2 linked regions of the Notamacropus eugenii genome follow. The protein of the gene in region 1 binds, or shares a complex with, the protein of each later gene. Links are inferred from orthologs where the notes say so. Each region holds a gene or a part of one and is shown on either strand. Other genes may lie near its edges.

Evidence for each region.
Region 2: the proteins of ABCC8 (region 1) and KCNJ11 are in contact, whole or in part, in a cryo-EM structure (PDB 7S60), measured with the Homo sapiens proteins. The link is inferred for Notamacropus eugenii from reciprocal best matches to the Homo sapiens genes ABCC8 and KCNJ11. Residues at the interface, in NP_000343.2 of Homo sapiens: Phe5, Ser12, Ala13, Tyr15, Arg16, Val17, Val21, Asn24, Cys26, Phe27, Ala30, Val33, Val34, Val37, Phe41, Phe44, Ile46, Phe48, Ile49, Gly50, Trp51, Gly52, Ser53, Ser55, Lys57, Val58, His59, Ile60, His61, His62; in NP_000516.3 of Homo sapiens: Val44, Ala45, His46, Lys47, Asn48, Ile49, Arg50, Gln52, Gly53, Leu56, Val59, Thr62, Leu63, Lys67, His70, Leu73, Ile74, Met77, Cys81, Leu84, Leu85, Met88, Trp91, Leu92, Phe95, Ala96, His97, Gly98, Leu100, Ala101.

What each region holds. Positions count from the first base shown.
Region 1 is NC_092877.1:40,901,981-40,910,164, reverse strand, and holds the start of ABCC8 (ATP-binding cassette sub-family C member 8), read left to right. Parts: upstream 1-5,095; 5' UTR 5,096-5,198; coding exon 5,199-5,346; intron 5,347-8,184. UniProt on the Homo sapiens protein: Regulator subunit of pancreatic ATP-sensitive potassium channel (KATP), playing a major role in the regulation of insulin release.
Region 2 is NC_092877.1:40,774,959-40,783,041, reverse strand, and holds the start of KCNJ11 (ATP-sensitive inward rectifier potassium channel 11), read left to right. Parts: upstream 1-5,027; 5' UTR 5,028-6,840; coding exon 6,841-8,043; 3' UTR 8,044-8,083. Other genes in the region: ABCC8 (ATP-binding cassette sub-family C member 8), read left to right, coding at 1,080-1,217. UniProt on the Homo sapiens protein: Inward rectifier potassium channel that forms the pore of ATP-sensitive potassium channels (KATP), regulating potassium permeability as a function of cytoplasmic ATP and ADP concentrations in many different cells.

The DNA of each region.
Region 1 (8,184 bases):
GAGTGAGTTTTGTGCAAAGTCGCCAGCCTCATTTTCTCCACCTTAGTCATCTGGATCCAGTGGGAGAAATATATACTAGCTACAAGCCCCATTCCCACAAGGTCTTTTTTCCTAGTAGTTTCAAAGCCTTGGATGCCCTAAGGTTCCTACCACTCTACTTAATGAACCACCTTAAAGGGAAATATGAGAAAAGTTTTCCACCTCTCTAGAGAAACCATCTAGTTCCTCTTTCACAACGTGGCAACATAATCTTCTTAAGGCATAAGAGGTGAAATTTCTTGTTTTCAAAGCTCTTCTAATTGAATTCCAATTAGGACTGTGCTAGTAAATGTTTATAGATCCTGGAGGGAGTGGGGTGTACTCAGGACATATTTTAATTTTAATCTGTATTGTTAAATTTTTCTTTACCACTTTCTTAAGTGAATGTAGTCAACAAAACAAAAAAAATCAAACAGTGATTTTTTTGCTGATTTCAAAAGTATAAATGCTCACACAATTTAATAATTGACTTTTGGGAGTTGTTGGAGCTGGTTCCAGCATACTCCCAATTCCAACCTACCTCTTCAAGCTGACCAGCAACCAATCTTGACTGAGAAGGAAATATACCTTTCACCTCTTGGCAGAGAAGTCAAAGACTAGATTTGTGGAACTAAACATCCATTCTCAGCAAGGCAACTGTTTTGATTAGTTTTAACTAACTATACATATTGTTATAATAGAACTCTTCCATTTAGACAATAGGAAAAGAAGAACAGTTGGAAAATAGCATTAGATACTGGAAAAAGAAATAAACATATGACACTTTACTCATTGTAATTTATTAAAATGAAAAAATACTTACTAAACAAGGTCATGTGGTACAGTATGAATCGACTTGAGTCGAGTTTTTCTTGCCTTCAAGGCTGGCTCTCTCTCCATGATGCCATACTGGTTCTCAACTCATAAAGATAATTATGAAAGAAAGACAAAGACCTTCCTGTGAATTTTCCAGTTTTCACACTCACTTTTCATTGCTTAAAGTGTAAAGACCTTACAAGCACAACTTAACAACAGTTCTCAGCTTAGTGTTCCCAGGTGCTTATCACGAGAGCAGATAACTTAACCTTGGAGTCACTAATGGCCTTCCTTCTACCTGTGTGTCCATTTCACTTGATTTTGTCCTTACCCACTCTTGGGCAGGACTGATTCACACTTGAGAAGCCACAGGAAATGAACTGGTTGTTTTCAAATGGTCCTTAACATCATACCTTCTATACATTCACTCATTTATTCATTCATCAGGTAATTACTGAAACCCTGCTATGCACATCGACTAGAGGGTATAGGAACATGACACAAAAAGCCTATGTCTCTGCTCTGGAAGAGGCAGAACCATCTGTGTGGGGAGAGAACTTGCAACTTGCAATCAGGAGAGGTAAGTAACCACGCAGGGAAGGTTAGTGTGAGTGCCAAAATGAGTGATGCCATCAATAAGCACCTGGGAAATCAATTCTGACGGGCGCGGCAAAAAACCACTCTCGAGAATGGAAGGCAGACATGTGACCATGGGAAGAGCACTAGATTTCAGATCCAAGTCTTGGGGCTTTTAATTATTTATTTTATAATTTATTTATTTATTTTTTTTTTAAATTTTTTTATTTTTTTATTTTTTTATTTTATTTTATTATTTATTTTTCAACTAACAACCATTTTTTTTCTCTCCCTCCCACCTATTCCCCAATTAAAGGAAAATCAAAACCTTCAGAACATATCCATAGCCAAGCAAAACAAATTCCCATTTTGGCCATGTGCAAAAATGCATCTCACTCTGCATCTTGAATCCATCACTTCCCTGTCCCAAAACGGTGATGATGTTTCATCATGAGACCTCTGCAATGTTTGATAATGACATCGATCAGAGATCTTAAGTCTTTCAAAGTTGTGTTTAATAAGAATGTATGTGTAGAACCCTTCTAAGACTGCATGTCGTCTCAGGGAGGGAGGGGGAAGGAGGGTGAGAAAATTTAAGACTTATGGAAGTGATTGTTTAAAACTGAAAACAAATAAATCAATTAAAAAGAGAGAGAGAAAAATCTTTCAAAGTTGTTTAAGACCTGGTTTACATTTTGTCTCCACTGCTTAGCCCTGTAGCCTTGGGAAAGTCACTGTTCTCTGAGCTCTATTCTCCACTTCTGAGAAATATGAGCAATCATCTCTGGTCTACCTCCTTTATAGAGTTATAGGATCTACAACTGGAAGAGACCTCCGAGGCCTGCTAGTTCAACCCCCACATTTTACCACTGAAGGAACTGAGCCTCAAGGAAGTTTGACACCTTGCCCAATGTCACCGCAGGTAGTTAGAATCAGAGGCAGCATTTGAATCCAAGACCTCTTGGACTCCTAAACCAGAGCTCTTTCCACTATGCCATGCTGCTTCCTATTGTGAAGTAAATGTATATAATGTGAAATGTATATAATGTATAGAAAATGTATATAATGTACATAAAACCTTTAGTGTTGATTTATAAATATATATATTCTTATTACCATTATGACTACCTCAGGGAGACAGGTTGCAGAGCGGTTAGAATGTTGGGTCTGGGATCAGGTAGTCTAGGTTATATGACCGTAAACAAGCTTCTCAATTTATAGGAGACTCAATTTCCTCATCTGTAAAATGGTGATGATTATTATACCACCAAACTCATAGGGTTATTCTGAGAATCACATGACAGCATATGTAATGTGCTGCTAAATAAATTCACTAAACTTATGATCATCTTCATTTCAGGTTTGCTTTCTTCCACAGGTCTGCATCACATACCCCTCCATCCCCCTGTAGTTTTAGTCAAGTTCTACTCGAAGGTAGAGAAATTAACCTTAGCAAAGACATGTCCCCATTACCAGCAGGAGCTCCCGAAGGACTTCATTCATCCATATGTAAGGATTAAAGATTTTCTAAGAGTGAGGGGATGTCTTTCTAGAGCTAACTCTACATTATTCATGTTTATGGGAGGGAGAAGGATAATACTCTATAATCCAAAACCCTGATAATCCAAAATTCTTTAGTATGTTTAACGACTTAAGGCATATAATTGGGAAAGAAGGGCATATTTTTTCCTCACAATGTCAGCATTAAAATGAGTTTACATTTATTTCCTGCCCACATTGATCCTGGGGACAATCTATGAGCCTCCTAGGGAGAAATGACCTCCCTTCCATAATCCTCTGCTACCTCATTACAAAGCATTCACTTTTGCCACCCTCACTAAAGAAGGAAGTAGATTGTTCTCATCAATGAGCAGATGCCGAACCATTTCCTCCCCTCCCTGACTTATGTCTCTCAGATCCAGCTGTGGGACGCCTGTCTTTCAGAACTGTTGTCTTACCTACACTAGAGGGGTGTACTGAGGGACAGTATGAGAAAACAGTTGTAAAAATGCTTTGGGGAGGCTAAGACAATAGCCATAGGGCAAACACTGTTAGTGTGGTTATTAATGAGATTTTCCCCCTAGGAAGCTCATCTCATATCAGTACCTATTAATCAATTTATTGTCTGAGGGCTTTCCCAGAGTCACACAGTCAGTAAGTACAGGAGAAAAGACTCGGACCTACGCTGGCATGACTCCTGAGACATTTCACTATGTCCTGCTGGTGCTGCTTTCATACCAATGCGGCCACTCATAATAAATGTTGATTGAAGTTGAAGTACTTATTGCATACATATAATGCAAATTCATTGAAAACAGTTTTCATTTACTGTCTGTATCCCTGGCATCTAGCACAGTACCTGCTGCATACAGTAGGTACTTAATAGATTATTTTGGTGACTGAGTTGTTTGCAGAGAACTGCTCTGGGTAATAAGGAGATAGAAAGTCCTATGTAGTTAGTTGTGGAACAAGAAATAAACATAATAACTCTTTCCATGCAATCGTTACAGGATAAGTTCAATAGAGAGTTAGCAAAGTTCTGAGGGAGAATGTACTTATGGGAGAGGGATCAGCGATTGATCATTGCAGAGGTGGCATTTGAGTTGGGCTTTGTAAGTTGGATGGGATCTCAGTAGGTAAAGCAGAGAAAGAGGACATTCTAGAGTCACAGAATATCATATAAGGTAGGAAGCATGCCTTTAATTAGGCATGTGCTGGATCGTTTGGGGACAGAGGTGTCCAATTCGTCTGGAGTGTAGTATGATTGGAGGGGAAAACTATTAGATAGGATCGAACAGATCAGTGATGTCACATTTTGAAGGACCATAAAGACTCTATTAGTATGCCTCTGGGAGCCACTGAAGATTTGGGGACCAAAGAATGATGTGACCAGAGATTCTCTTCTCCAGATTGGGTGATGATAGTTCTCAGGACTTCTTTCTGGGGTCAGAATCTTCTGGGTACAGGTTTAGGGCACCTAATTGCCCCCAGGACCTTTCCCTCCAGGATCCCCCTACTCAATGGACTTGGGGGGGGAGGCGGGGTGAATCGGGAGGCTGTGGGGGAGAAAGGGTCTCTCTGTTCGACTCTCGGGAATAGGCAGTCAATGTTTGGACATGAGTCCAGCAGCTCAGAGACAGCCTCTGGTCCTGCGTTCCCCAGTTGCCCCACCCTCGTATCATACTTCTTTGGGAGCCCCGGGTTCAGCCCGATCCTGTGTCCCTGAAGTACTCTCCCAGTCCCCCCCACACACGCGCCCAACCTGAGCCCACGGAAAGTGCGCCCCCAGCACAAACTGAAGCCAAGTCAAGAAAAAGCGCAGAGACACATAATTGGGATCATCCTCCATTCACCCAGCAGCGCACGTGCGCAGAACGCTCCTTTGCACGCGCTCACACACTCATATACATACACACATACTAGCGCGTACACACATACACATACATACATACGTACATGGGCGCGCACACACAGAGGCTTTGCAAACTCCCTCCTCCCCTAAGACGCGCGCGCGCGCGTACACAGACACACACACTAAATAGGACACACACACCGGTGCCACCTCCAACAGGGTCTAGGGTTGCGGTGGGGTGGGAGTGGAGAGCAGAGGTGGAAGCTCAGGTAGCTGGGTCACAGAGACTGGGCGGGGCTGGCGGGTGGAGCGGGGGTGGGAGACCGGCTGACAGCTGGTCCAGAGCGCGGCGGCGCGGGGAGGGTAGGAGGGAAGCTGGTGAGCCCGCAGCCTGCAGCCCGAGCCCTGGCCCGGCCCGCCTGGCCCCCGCACCGCCATGCCCTTGGCTTTCTGCGGCAGCGAGAACGACTCGGCCGCCTACAAGGTGGACCAGGGCGTTCTGAACAACGGCTGCTTTGTGGATGCGCTCAACGTGGTCCCACATGTCTTCCTTTTCTTCATCACTTTCCCCATCCTCTTCATCGGTAAGCCTGAGCGTGCCAGACCGAGAAACTGGGCTTGGGGAGGGGTCGGGGAGGGGAGCAGCAGCGGGGGCTTGAGCTGGAGTACAGACTTTCCTCTCACTTTTCCCAGCTACCCCACCAGCTTCCCTACACCCGCCATCCCCAGCCTCTCCCAGCTTTCCTGCCTTTCCTCGTTCGCCCTTGTCCTACACTTTCCCTGTGCCCTCTCCTCTTTCTTTTTTCTCCAAGCAGCCCTTCCTCCCTGAGCCCGTTCTTTTCTGCATCCCTTCGTTTTTCCTGTCTGCCAGCCCCACTTTGGTGTGCTCCAGCCCCCTTCTCTGTTTGCGTTCCTGCCTCAGCTCCGCTGGCCTCCAGTCTTCCCCAGACTCCTTTTGCCAGGGCCTGGAACCCCAGAGGGGCCCTTTCATAGGTCCTTGTTCAATTTCCTTGGTCACCCCCCAACCCTTAACCTCAGAAAGCTCCTCCAAGAGATATAGGTTCTTCCCTCTTCCCCCGCGTCCCAGCCCCCTTTTCCCTACCTCCCCTACCCCCACATTGCTCCCAGGTAATATTAATGTGGAAGAGGGGTGGTAGTGAAAGTGGAGAGAGGGGGGAACCCAGGGCTAAAAGTGGGGTCACCGCCCGTTCTGTGAGAAGTAAATGGACTCAGAGTGGGTCCAGAGAAGTCCCAGCAGGGTCGTCTTTCTGTCCCCTCCTCCAGTGCTATTCAAGGTCTCCCTCCTCCCCCTTCCCTACTTCCCCTACTTCCCAAAGTGCAAGTCCGGACTAAGCCTCAGAACAACCCCTCAAAGGGAAGGAGGCTGTTATGTCCAGCCTCCCTTCTCCCCAAAGCTTCATCTCAGCGAGAGGTCTTCAGTCCCCTGTTCCACTAAGTTCCCAGGAGCTGGAAGCTTTGGGAAAAGATAGAAACCTACCTAGATTAATGAATTCCTGTGCCCTAGGATACGTTACTGCTACTTAGATTCAGAGAAATAGTGCTGAACTTGGAGTCAGGAAACCTGAGTTCAAATACTCACTTTGCCAATAACTAACCCTGTGACCTTGGGCTTCCTTTTCCTCATTTGTTAAAATAATAATAATAATAGTTAGACTAGCTACCCTCTATAGTCTCTTCCAGCTCTCGATCAATGATCACTAGTCAGAGGTCAAAGGCCATAGATCATAACTCTCCCATTTTTCAAATGGGTTAAATGAGCTTCACAAGTAAAGTGACATACCCAAGTCATTCAAACAGGAAGTGGCATATCTAGGACTTGAATCCTTAAATTGACTCTCAGTTAAATGATCTTTCCCGTTAAGCATGTCTCCTTTTTAGCTTTGCACCCAAGCTTAGAGTTAATCCAGATGCCCTGACAGCCTGGGTAGGCCTGCTTTTCAGAATTTAACCAATTGCTGGGCATTTCTGTCTTCAAGCAGCATATATTTCACTGTGTTCTCTTTTAAATTGTATTTTTTAGTTCCACATTCTCTGTCTCCCTCCATAGCCTCCCCCACCCAATGAAAAGGCAAGAAATATGATGCCCATTATATATATATATATATATATACACATATACACACAGTCATGCAAAACATATTTCCTCATTAGCCATGCCCACCCACCCTCCCCCAAAAGCAAGAAAAACAAAGGAAAAAAATACACTTAGATTTGGACCCTGAGTTTATCAGTTCTTTATCAGGAGGTTGATAGCATTTGATACTGAGTCCTTTCCAGGAGTGGTAGCTCGTTGTATTGATCAGTTACTAAGTCTTTCACAGTTGATTATCCTTACAGTTGCTATTATTGTGCAGACTGCTCTCTTGCTTCTGTTCACTTCACTTTTCATCAGTTCATATAGGTCTTCCCAGATTTTTCTGAAATCATCCCCTTCATCATTTCTTAAAGCACAATAATATTTCATCATTCATATACCATAACCTGTTCAGTCATTCCTCAATTGATGGACATCTCCTTAGTATCCAGCTCTTTGCTACCACAAAAAGAGTTGTTAAAAATACTTTCGTACATATTTGTACGAATTTCTACATAGGAATATGGGTGCTTTTCCTTTTTCTTTGGTCTCCTTGGGGTATGTTAGTAGTGTTAGAGTATACACAGTATTATAGCCCTTTGGACATGATTTGAAATCAGTATACAGTTTGTGCACAAACACTGAATCAGAATCTACATATTCCCCTTTGGAGATGGCATAGCAGGGACTCATCCATAGGGTTAGTGTTGGATAAGATCATTTTTCTAAGCCTGCTTCTATGTAATGATAGGGCTTCCCGAGTCTACAATCAGACTACTACATGCCCTCATAAAGGTATGCAGTTACCAGTGCTTGCTCCATGAGTCAATATCAACAACTCAAGTTTTGTAACATGCCAGGGTGTTTCTGTTATGTTGGGGATGTCCATGTTCTTTTAAACATCTTGATTTTCAAATAGAAAAGTATGTCCTGTGTTTTTAGAGGGAGAGGAGTGTTACAAAATTGAATAAACATGAGTAGAGTGATGCAGCTCCCTCCTGTTGATAATACACAAGCTTCTGATGTACCATATGTGCAGAGTATGCTGGAGCCAGCTTCAGTGGGCTCAAGCCTATAGTTAAATTTTCAGAGTGAACACTTATACCATAGAAATTGGCAAATGCTATGCTACAAGTCAAGTCTTGTTTCATTGTTTTGTTTATTATCCAGACTTAATGTAGTGACGGGATAAAATGTTAATAAGGAAGCTTAAATTGAAAAGTGTGTTATGCACATGTATATTTTTAGAGAGCCAGTTGTTAAACATTTACCAACACACTCCTTGATATATATGATGAACACACACACACACACACACACACACACA
Region 2 (8,083 bases), about 130 kb from region 1:
TCTGAGCTCTAAAGGATTCTAGTACCATTGACTAAATCTAACAACAACAGTGATGATGATGATGATGATGATGATGATGATGATGATGATGATAAATAAGTTAGCATCAGTAAAACACTTTCAGATTGGCACAGGATTTTAGGTATGTTGATCTCATTTTGACTTCACAACAATCCTGTAAGGTAGATACTATCCCCATTTTACGTTAAGCAAATTGAAGCTGGAAGAGGTGAAGTGATTTGTCCAGAATCAGGCAGCTAAGTGTCTGAGACAAGATTTGAACTCAAGTCTTCCTGACTTCAAGTTCAGCACTCAGTCCACTGTGCTACCTAGTTGCTATTACCCCCAAAGCAGGGAGTAGATAAGGGTGATTAGTTTATACTGATCTTGGTCATTCCCAGCTACCCTAAGAGGGAGGTAACATGGATAGGATGGAAAAAGGTAACCCCAAGAAATACAGAAAGCCTAAGTGACTTCCCTATTCAGTGAGTGAAGAGCCCAGTGCCCACATGAAGCAAGTTAGATATGCACTGTATTAGATTCTGATGCTGAATTTAATTATCTAACTTGTGGATAAGGAATAAAGAGACATAGTTAACCATTTAAAAGACTCTGCCCTGCTTTGTGACTCTGACTCAGTCACAGAATTCCCCCATCTTGTCAAACCTGGCCCCCTGATCTTTGAGAAGACATCTCCTTGGGAACAAAAAAAAGCCCTGCCCCATGATGAGGTATAAGCTTGAGTGTTAGGGTGCAGACTTGAACCATGAGTTCTATCTTTCAGTTTCTAGTGTAGATTCTTACTTATCTCTGCTGGTTCATTTCGGCTCCATTTAACACTTCTAGCCCTCCTGCCAGTCCTCATTCCCTACCCAAGCACCCCACACCCATATTACCCCACTTTCCTTATCTCTCCTACCCACTCATGCCTTTTGCTTCCAATGCTGAATAGCTATTCATACTCCCCTTCCCCTTGCAACTATAGATACCGTCAGCCTTTCTTTCCCTTAGCTCATGCCCTCAGAACTTCCTCTAGTTTGCCAAAGCATCAAGGCTCCATCTGGGCTTTCTCTCCACAGCACCGAGTACACACCATCCTGAATGCTGACCTCGTGATTGTGATGAAGCGTGGTGCCATACTGGAATATGATAAGCCCGAGGTGCTGCTCAGCCAGCCAGACAGTGTCTTTGCATCCTTTGTCCGGGCTGACAAGTGACCTGAGCTGGAGTGACTCCAAGTGCCATTTTGCCCCTCTTTGCCACCTTCTCCAACATGGATTTTCTAGCTGTGTAAATCATTTGTAAATAAAGAGATTAATTATTTCCTACCATATCCCCCAAATTTCCTATGGAGTTCCTTCATCTTCCTCTTCCTAATTTGGAATCCTAGTAGCTTGGTAGGTAGAGTTCATAGCACTAGCACTAGCCTCTTACTAGAGAAATGCATCTATACCTCAACTAATATACATACTACTTTGCACATGTGAAAACATGAAATCATGGATAAAGAACTGGCCTCAAAGCCAGGGTTCAATTCCAGCTTCTAATACATAATGGTTATGTGATCCTAGGCCAAGTCACAACCTCTCAGTTCTCTAGGTAACTCTCTAAGACTTCACATTGCAGAGAAGGTGCCAACCTGCATTTGGAAAGGAGTTTTTTCCTTTGGGAGTTCCCTATACCATGGAAATCATAGGTCTACTTTCTATTCATCATGTAACACTAGCCCCAGTAGCCATCTCATGGAGTGTGGGTGGTGATTGGCCTGGCCCCTGACCTGGACTCCTGGGGGATATATGAAGGACTTGTCAGTTTGGGATGGGACAGCAAACCTGGGGAAGTTTCTTGGTTTCCCGTCCCTGTGTGGTTGGAGGATGGGAGAGAATTGCAACAAAACTGTTATCAAAGAAGATTGGTTACTGAACCAGAAAGAATAGCCCACTTAGATTTTAAAAGAAGTGATTCTGTCTTACTCCTCACTCTTCCATTCTCCAGAATTCTTATTGCTCTCTCTCTCTCTCTCTCTCTCTCTCTCTCTCTCTCTCTCTCTCTCTCTCTCTCTCTCTCTGCATCTATTTATCTCTATCTCTATCTCTATCTCTGTCTCTCTCATATGGGTGTTATCACTCTCTCTGGAGCTTCCCTTGAGCAATTGGGGGAGAGGCATGAGGATATCCACTATTAGACTTATAATTTGCAATCAATTCAACAAATACTTCTTAAGCTAACAATTAATGTGCTTAGTACTTTGATATTTCAAAGTACTTCTAATTTCATCAGTGTGGGTACACCCTTCATCAACACAAATCACAACCCCAGAGTAACTGAAAGATCCAGAACCCTATGACAAGTTAGTGATGAACCCTTGAACCAAAAACCTACCCTCCATCGCTGAGCCCATTCCTGGAACTTTCTAATTGGGTAGACTTTGTCATATACTACTCCACATACTACTAGCAAATAACTTCAGAAAGGTCAAGATGGCAGAATGAGGAATCAGAGTAAGACTTAGTTGAAGCTTGTGAAATGTTTCCTTTTTAAAAATGTCTGCATTTTTAAAGTAATCAATCCATGATGTCATAATAAAGTGTACCACTCTCTAAACCACAGCATAGCAGAAAGATAACAATCACAGAGGCAATCCTTTGAGGCCAGGAATCCTTGGATCTGATGTCTATGAATTTAGTTTTTAATATTTCAATAACTGTACTTCAATATAATTTGTTTCCTTTGTTATCCTATACATTTTATTTTATGAACTTTAAAAATATTATTGTTAGAAGGGGTTCAGAGGCTTCACTAGATTGCCACAGATTTGAGTCCATGACATGAAAAAAATGAATAGCCCTTTATCCATTCTAAGTGTTTAAAATCACATACTTTATTTTGAATCTGTGGGATAAGGAATAGAACCGAATTTCTGCCTGGATCATTGCTTCCCTTTGCCTGGTTTCATTTCAGCTGCCAATCTTGTAGCTCTTTACACTATTTTAGGACCCAGTTTCTGTCTACAGGACCAACGGGCAGCCTTAAACTCATCCCCAAGTTTTCACTCATCTACTAACCTCATCTCCAGAGGTATGTACTTCTTCATGCTATGAAGGTGACTGTAGGTTCTCAAAGTCAATGCTAATCAAAAAGCATTTATTAAACACTCATTACATACCAGGCTCTGTGTTGGAGACAGGAACACAAAAATGAAACAGTACCTATCCTCAAGGAGTTTTCATATTCCTACTAAGCTGAAAAAACTGGCTCATTTCACCTCTAGAGACTTCAGTTTCCTCACTTGTAACATTAGGTACTTGGCTGAGTTTGTTTATCTTTAATCAAAGTCATGGATATGGTAGGTGGCAAAGTGTAGACAAGAATGCTACTCTCCTGATTCCAAGTACGGTGCCTTTAGAGGAGAAGACATAGAAAAAGATACCTATGAACCTGGGTGTAGGCAAACACCTGCATACACACACACACACACACACACACACACACACACACGATTCCTGTAATTCCTTCCCTGCCCAGCCCCTTCCTTGGGTTCAGAAGAGTAACCTCTACTGAGAACCATGACTTTGTGAGGTTCTCCATACTATCATGAGCCATCAGAGATGATGCCTCTGGGGGAAAGGTTAACAGAGCAGTGAAAACCGGGAGATGGGTTGGTCCTGTAGACAGAAACGGGGCCCTAAAAATGTGAAGTATAAGACTGGCAGCACTGAAAAGAAACCAGGCAAAGAAAAGCAATAATGATCCAGCTGGAAATAATTGAGGGCTCTATTCTTTATTCCACAGGTTCAAAATAAAAATCATACAGATTTCAAACATTTAGACTAGGGCTTTCGTTGTTGAGTTTACAGTCATGTTGGACTCTTCATGACCCCATTTGGGGTTTTCTTGGTGAAAATACTGTAGTGGTTTGGGGGATCCTTCTCTAAGAGACTAGAGCAGGGGCTCCTAAGTCTTTTGTATTTCTTATACTCCAAGAAGGTCAAGTAAAATGTTGATATATTATAAATGATATTTTATAAATTGGATTTACACACTGCTCCCCTAAAATCTTTTTCTGATGTCTCACTGTGATGTGGAAGTGGCCCTGGGTCTTCAAAGACAATGCCAGGTGAGGGCAAATTCTGGCAGGGATCACTAAGATGGATAGTCTTTCAACTCAGGCCTGATAACAGACTATATTTGCTGTCTGAATACCAGCCTAGCAATTCCTAGGCAGGCTCATCACCAGACTGGCTACAGTTTAATGAATCCGGGCATGGAGTGACTCTCAAATACAGTCTAATAAGTTGTACCATGAGTATAAATGCAAAAAAAAATACAGATAATAATGGCAAATAATTACATAGCACTTTTTAGGATATTCTTATTTTATCTTCACAACAACCTTGGGAGGTAGATGTTATCTCCATTTTACAGAGGAAGAAACTGAGGCAGGCAGAATAATTTGTCCATTGTTACACAGCTAATAAGTGTCTGAGGCTGAATTTGAACTCAGGTTTTCCTGACTCTAAGCCCAGCACGGCATCGCCTAGCTACTTATTTGCACTACCTCCCTCTCAGTGGAGGGAATTATATTTACATGGACTCCAGTCTTCATTCCTCCGGGTCTGACACACTATCGACTGTGTCACCTAAAAGGCTGCCTGCAGATCTCTGAAATATTGCAGAAAAATGATTTTTGAAAATTGAATCTATTAAAATTTGACTGGAATTCAGCATTTGAAAGAAAGCATATTGTGAATCATTTTTTAAAGTGAAGAATCTCTCGATAAAGAGAATGCCTCCCTCTTTTATCCGATTTGTAGATTTGGAAGGGAATTGAACTAGAAGACCTTTGAAGTCCTTTCCCATTCAAAGTCGATCATCCTATGATTGTCCAGCATTCAGGTTTGCTTAAAGAAAGGCACACCTGTACAATTTAAATTTTAATGGAAAAATCAATAAGGCATATGCCTTAAGGATGTCCTGAATCCAGGAACTGGAAGAGCTCAGTTGAATATACTCAGGTGAGTGGGCTTCAGGAAACCTGGGTCCTGGTTCTTCCATCAAAAGCTCATTATATGACCTTGTGCTTTCTCAGTCTGTAAAATGTGCTCCAGGGGCCTTTTCAGTTCCAGTTTTATGGGTCTATGAAGGGTATCCCCTCCCCCTCTAAGTCCTAAGCCGTGAAATACAGAAGTAGCAGTTGCCTACTTTCCCTCAGCCATTAGGGGTACGGACAAACGGCTGGGAGAAGGGCCAAACCCAAGTAAATGGTGGGGAGTTGGCCGCCCCTAGGACTTCCTCCAGCCCCCTCCTTCCCACAAAACAAACAAACCTGGGAGTGGAAGGAATGAGGAGAGAAGGAGGGAATGATGGGGAGAGAGGGACAGAGATAGAGAGACCCCCCCAGGCACCCTTCCCAGGCGTCCTCTGGGTCCAGGGGCGGGCCCGGGAGGAGGCGGAGCCGCATCTTTGCAATCGTCTCCCTTCTACCCGCACCCCCAGTCCTCCGCCTTCCTCCGGGCTGCAGCTGATCCCGGGTCAGATACTCCCTCTGGTGGCCTCTGGGTCCCCACTCCCTGCCCGCTGCAGTACTGGGACTTCGCATTGACAGTCCCCCCGATCTCGCCCTCCTGTCCTGGGCCTGCGCCGGTGCTCCTGCCGCTGCTGCCCTCATCTCCGATCCTTCTTCCCTACAGCAGCTCCTATTCCCACTCTCGTCCCCATTTTCCCCCTCCCCCATCACCTCCAACCTCCTGAGCTCTTACCTCCCCCAGTCCCATTCCCATTCCCATCCCCCAGCCGCACCAGCCTCCGGATCCTCCCCCGCCATCACCCCGGCTTTCTGCATCTCCTGCCCCCTTAGCCTTCGATCCCCACGTCTGCCTCCTATATCCTCCCCCATCCCACCCACTCCGTTAGCCTCCCTGAGTTCTTACCTTCCTTTCCCATTCTTCACCCCACGCCCAGCCTCCCTCTGCTCCTAGGCTCCCACCACCACCCTACCTCTCACTCCCCTGTACCATCCTACCCTCAGTACAACCCCAATCAATTTTCTCCCCTACTCCACCCCGCCTTATCTCATCTCGGCAGGGTTCCCAGCTCTCCACCTCCCTCCCGGTGCTGGAACCCAAGCCGGGGTGTCAGAGGACGCTGGACAGAGAGACAGATTGACAAGCCAGGACACAGGACTGGGGCTGGCACTGGTGCGGAGGGCGGGGTTAGGGAGCAGCGGTCGCGACTAGAGGAACAGCAGCAGGTGCTGAGCTCAAGGGGAGGGGGAAAGGAGGAGGCCCTGTGCTGGAAGGGGCAAGCGCCGAGCTGGGGTGGTGGTTGGAGAAGAGAGGGAGGAAGGGGTTGGAGTCCCCAGACCCTGTGGAGAGAGGCACCGGACGCAAGCAGAGAGCTTCCGGTGAAGGAGGCAAGGGGGGGCGGGGGCTGGAACTGAGGGGAAGGGGAGAGGGATAAAGAGAGAGTTAGGGTGGTAAGAGGCTGGGCCTGAGCTGTGGGATGGAGAGAGTGGCTCGGGTCAGTAGGTAAGGAGATAGGTTCAGTGGGTGAGCCTGGGGGCTACTGATGTGAGACAGTGGAGAGTCCCAGGAGATGACTGGGGCAAGAGCAGAGTGTAGGAGGTGAGCTGATGGCCATAACATTGCGAAGTGGGGAAGTGAGCTAGGAGACTTGGGAACAAGAGGCAAGAAAGGTGGAGGATTACCTGACTGCTTGCCAACTTTGACTTGGGGTGGAGGGGGTGACAAGATCAGAAGGTGCATCTTGGCTGGGGATTGAGAGGATAGGGCTAGGCTGATAGGAGCCCCCAATGGGGGAAGCCTAGGGAGGGCCTGAGCCATGCTGTCCCGCAAGGGAATCATCCCTGAGGAGTATGTACTGACTCGGCTAGCAGAGGATCCAACAGAGCCCAGGTACCATGCCCGGGAGAGAAGAGCCCGCTTTGTGGCCAAGAATGGCAACTGCAATGTAGCCCACAAGAACATCCGGGAGCAGGGCCGCTTCCTTCAGGATGTCTTCACCACGCTGGTGGACCTCAAGTGGCACCACACACTGCTCATCTTCACCATGTCCTTCCTCTGCAGCTGGCTACTCTTTGCCATGGCCTGGTGGCTCATTGCTTTTGCTCATGGTGACCTGGACCACAGCACCAGAACTGAAACTGGGGAGAATGATGCCACTTTCATACCCTGCGTCACCAGCATCCACTCCTTTGCTTCTGCCTTCCTTTTCTCCATTGAGGTTCAGGTGACAATTGGCTTCGGGGGTCGCATGGTGACTGAGGAATGTCCACTGGCTGTCCTGGTGCTGATCGTGCAGAACATCGTTGGGCTCATGGTCAATGCCATCATGTTGGGCTGCATCTTCATGAAGACAGCCCAAGCCCACCGCCGGGCAGAGACACTCATCTTCAGCAAGCATGCGGTCATCGCCATGCGCCACGGCCGCCTCTGCTTCATGCTCCGTGTGGGTGACCTCCGGAAAAGTATGATCATCAGTGCTACCATCCGCATGCAGGTAGTCCGGAAGACCACCAGCCCTGAAGGCGAGGTTGTACCCTTGCACCAGGTGGACATTCCTATGGAGAATGGTGTGGGTGGCAACAGCATCTTCCTGGTGGCTCCACTTATTATCTACCATGTCATTGATGCCAACAGTCCCCTGTATGACCTTGCCCCCAGTGACCTGCACCACCATCAGGATCTGGAAATCATTGTGATATTGGAAGGTGTGGTGGAGACCACAGGCATCACCACACAGGCCCGAACCTCCTACCTTGCAGATGAGATCCTCTGGGGCCAGCGCTTTGTTCCCATCGTGGCCGAGGAGGATGGCCGCTACTCAGTGGACTACTCTAAGTTTGGCAATACTGTCAAGGTGCCTACCCCTGCCTGCACTGCCCGCCAGCTGGAGGAGGATCGAACTCTCCTGGACTCCCTCCCTCTTGCCTCTCCCAAAGGGCCCCTCCGAAAGAGGAGTGTGGCTTCAACCAAGCCCAAAGCCAAGCCCAAGTTCAGCATCTCCCTCGATGCCTTGTCCTGAGGCCTGCCTTCATTATGTGGGCCAGCTCAAACTCCCCAGG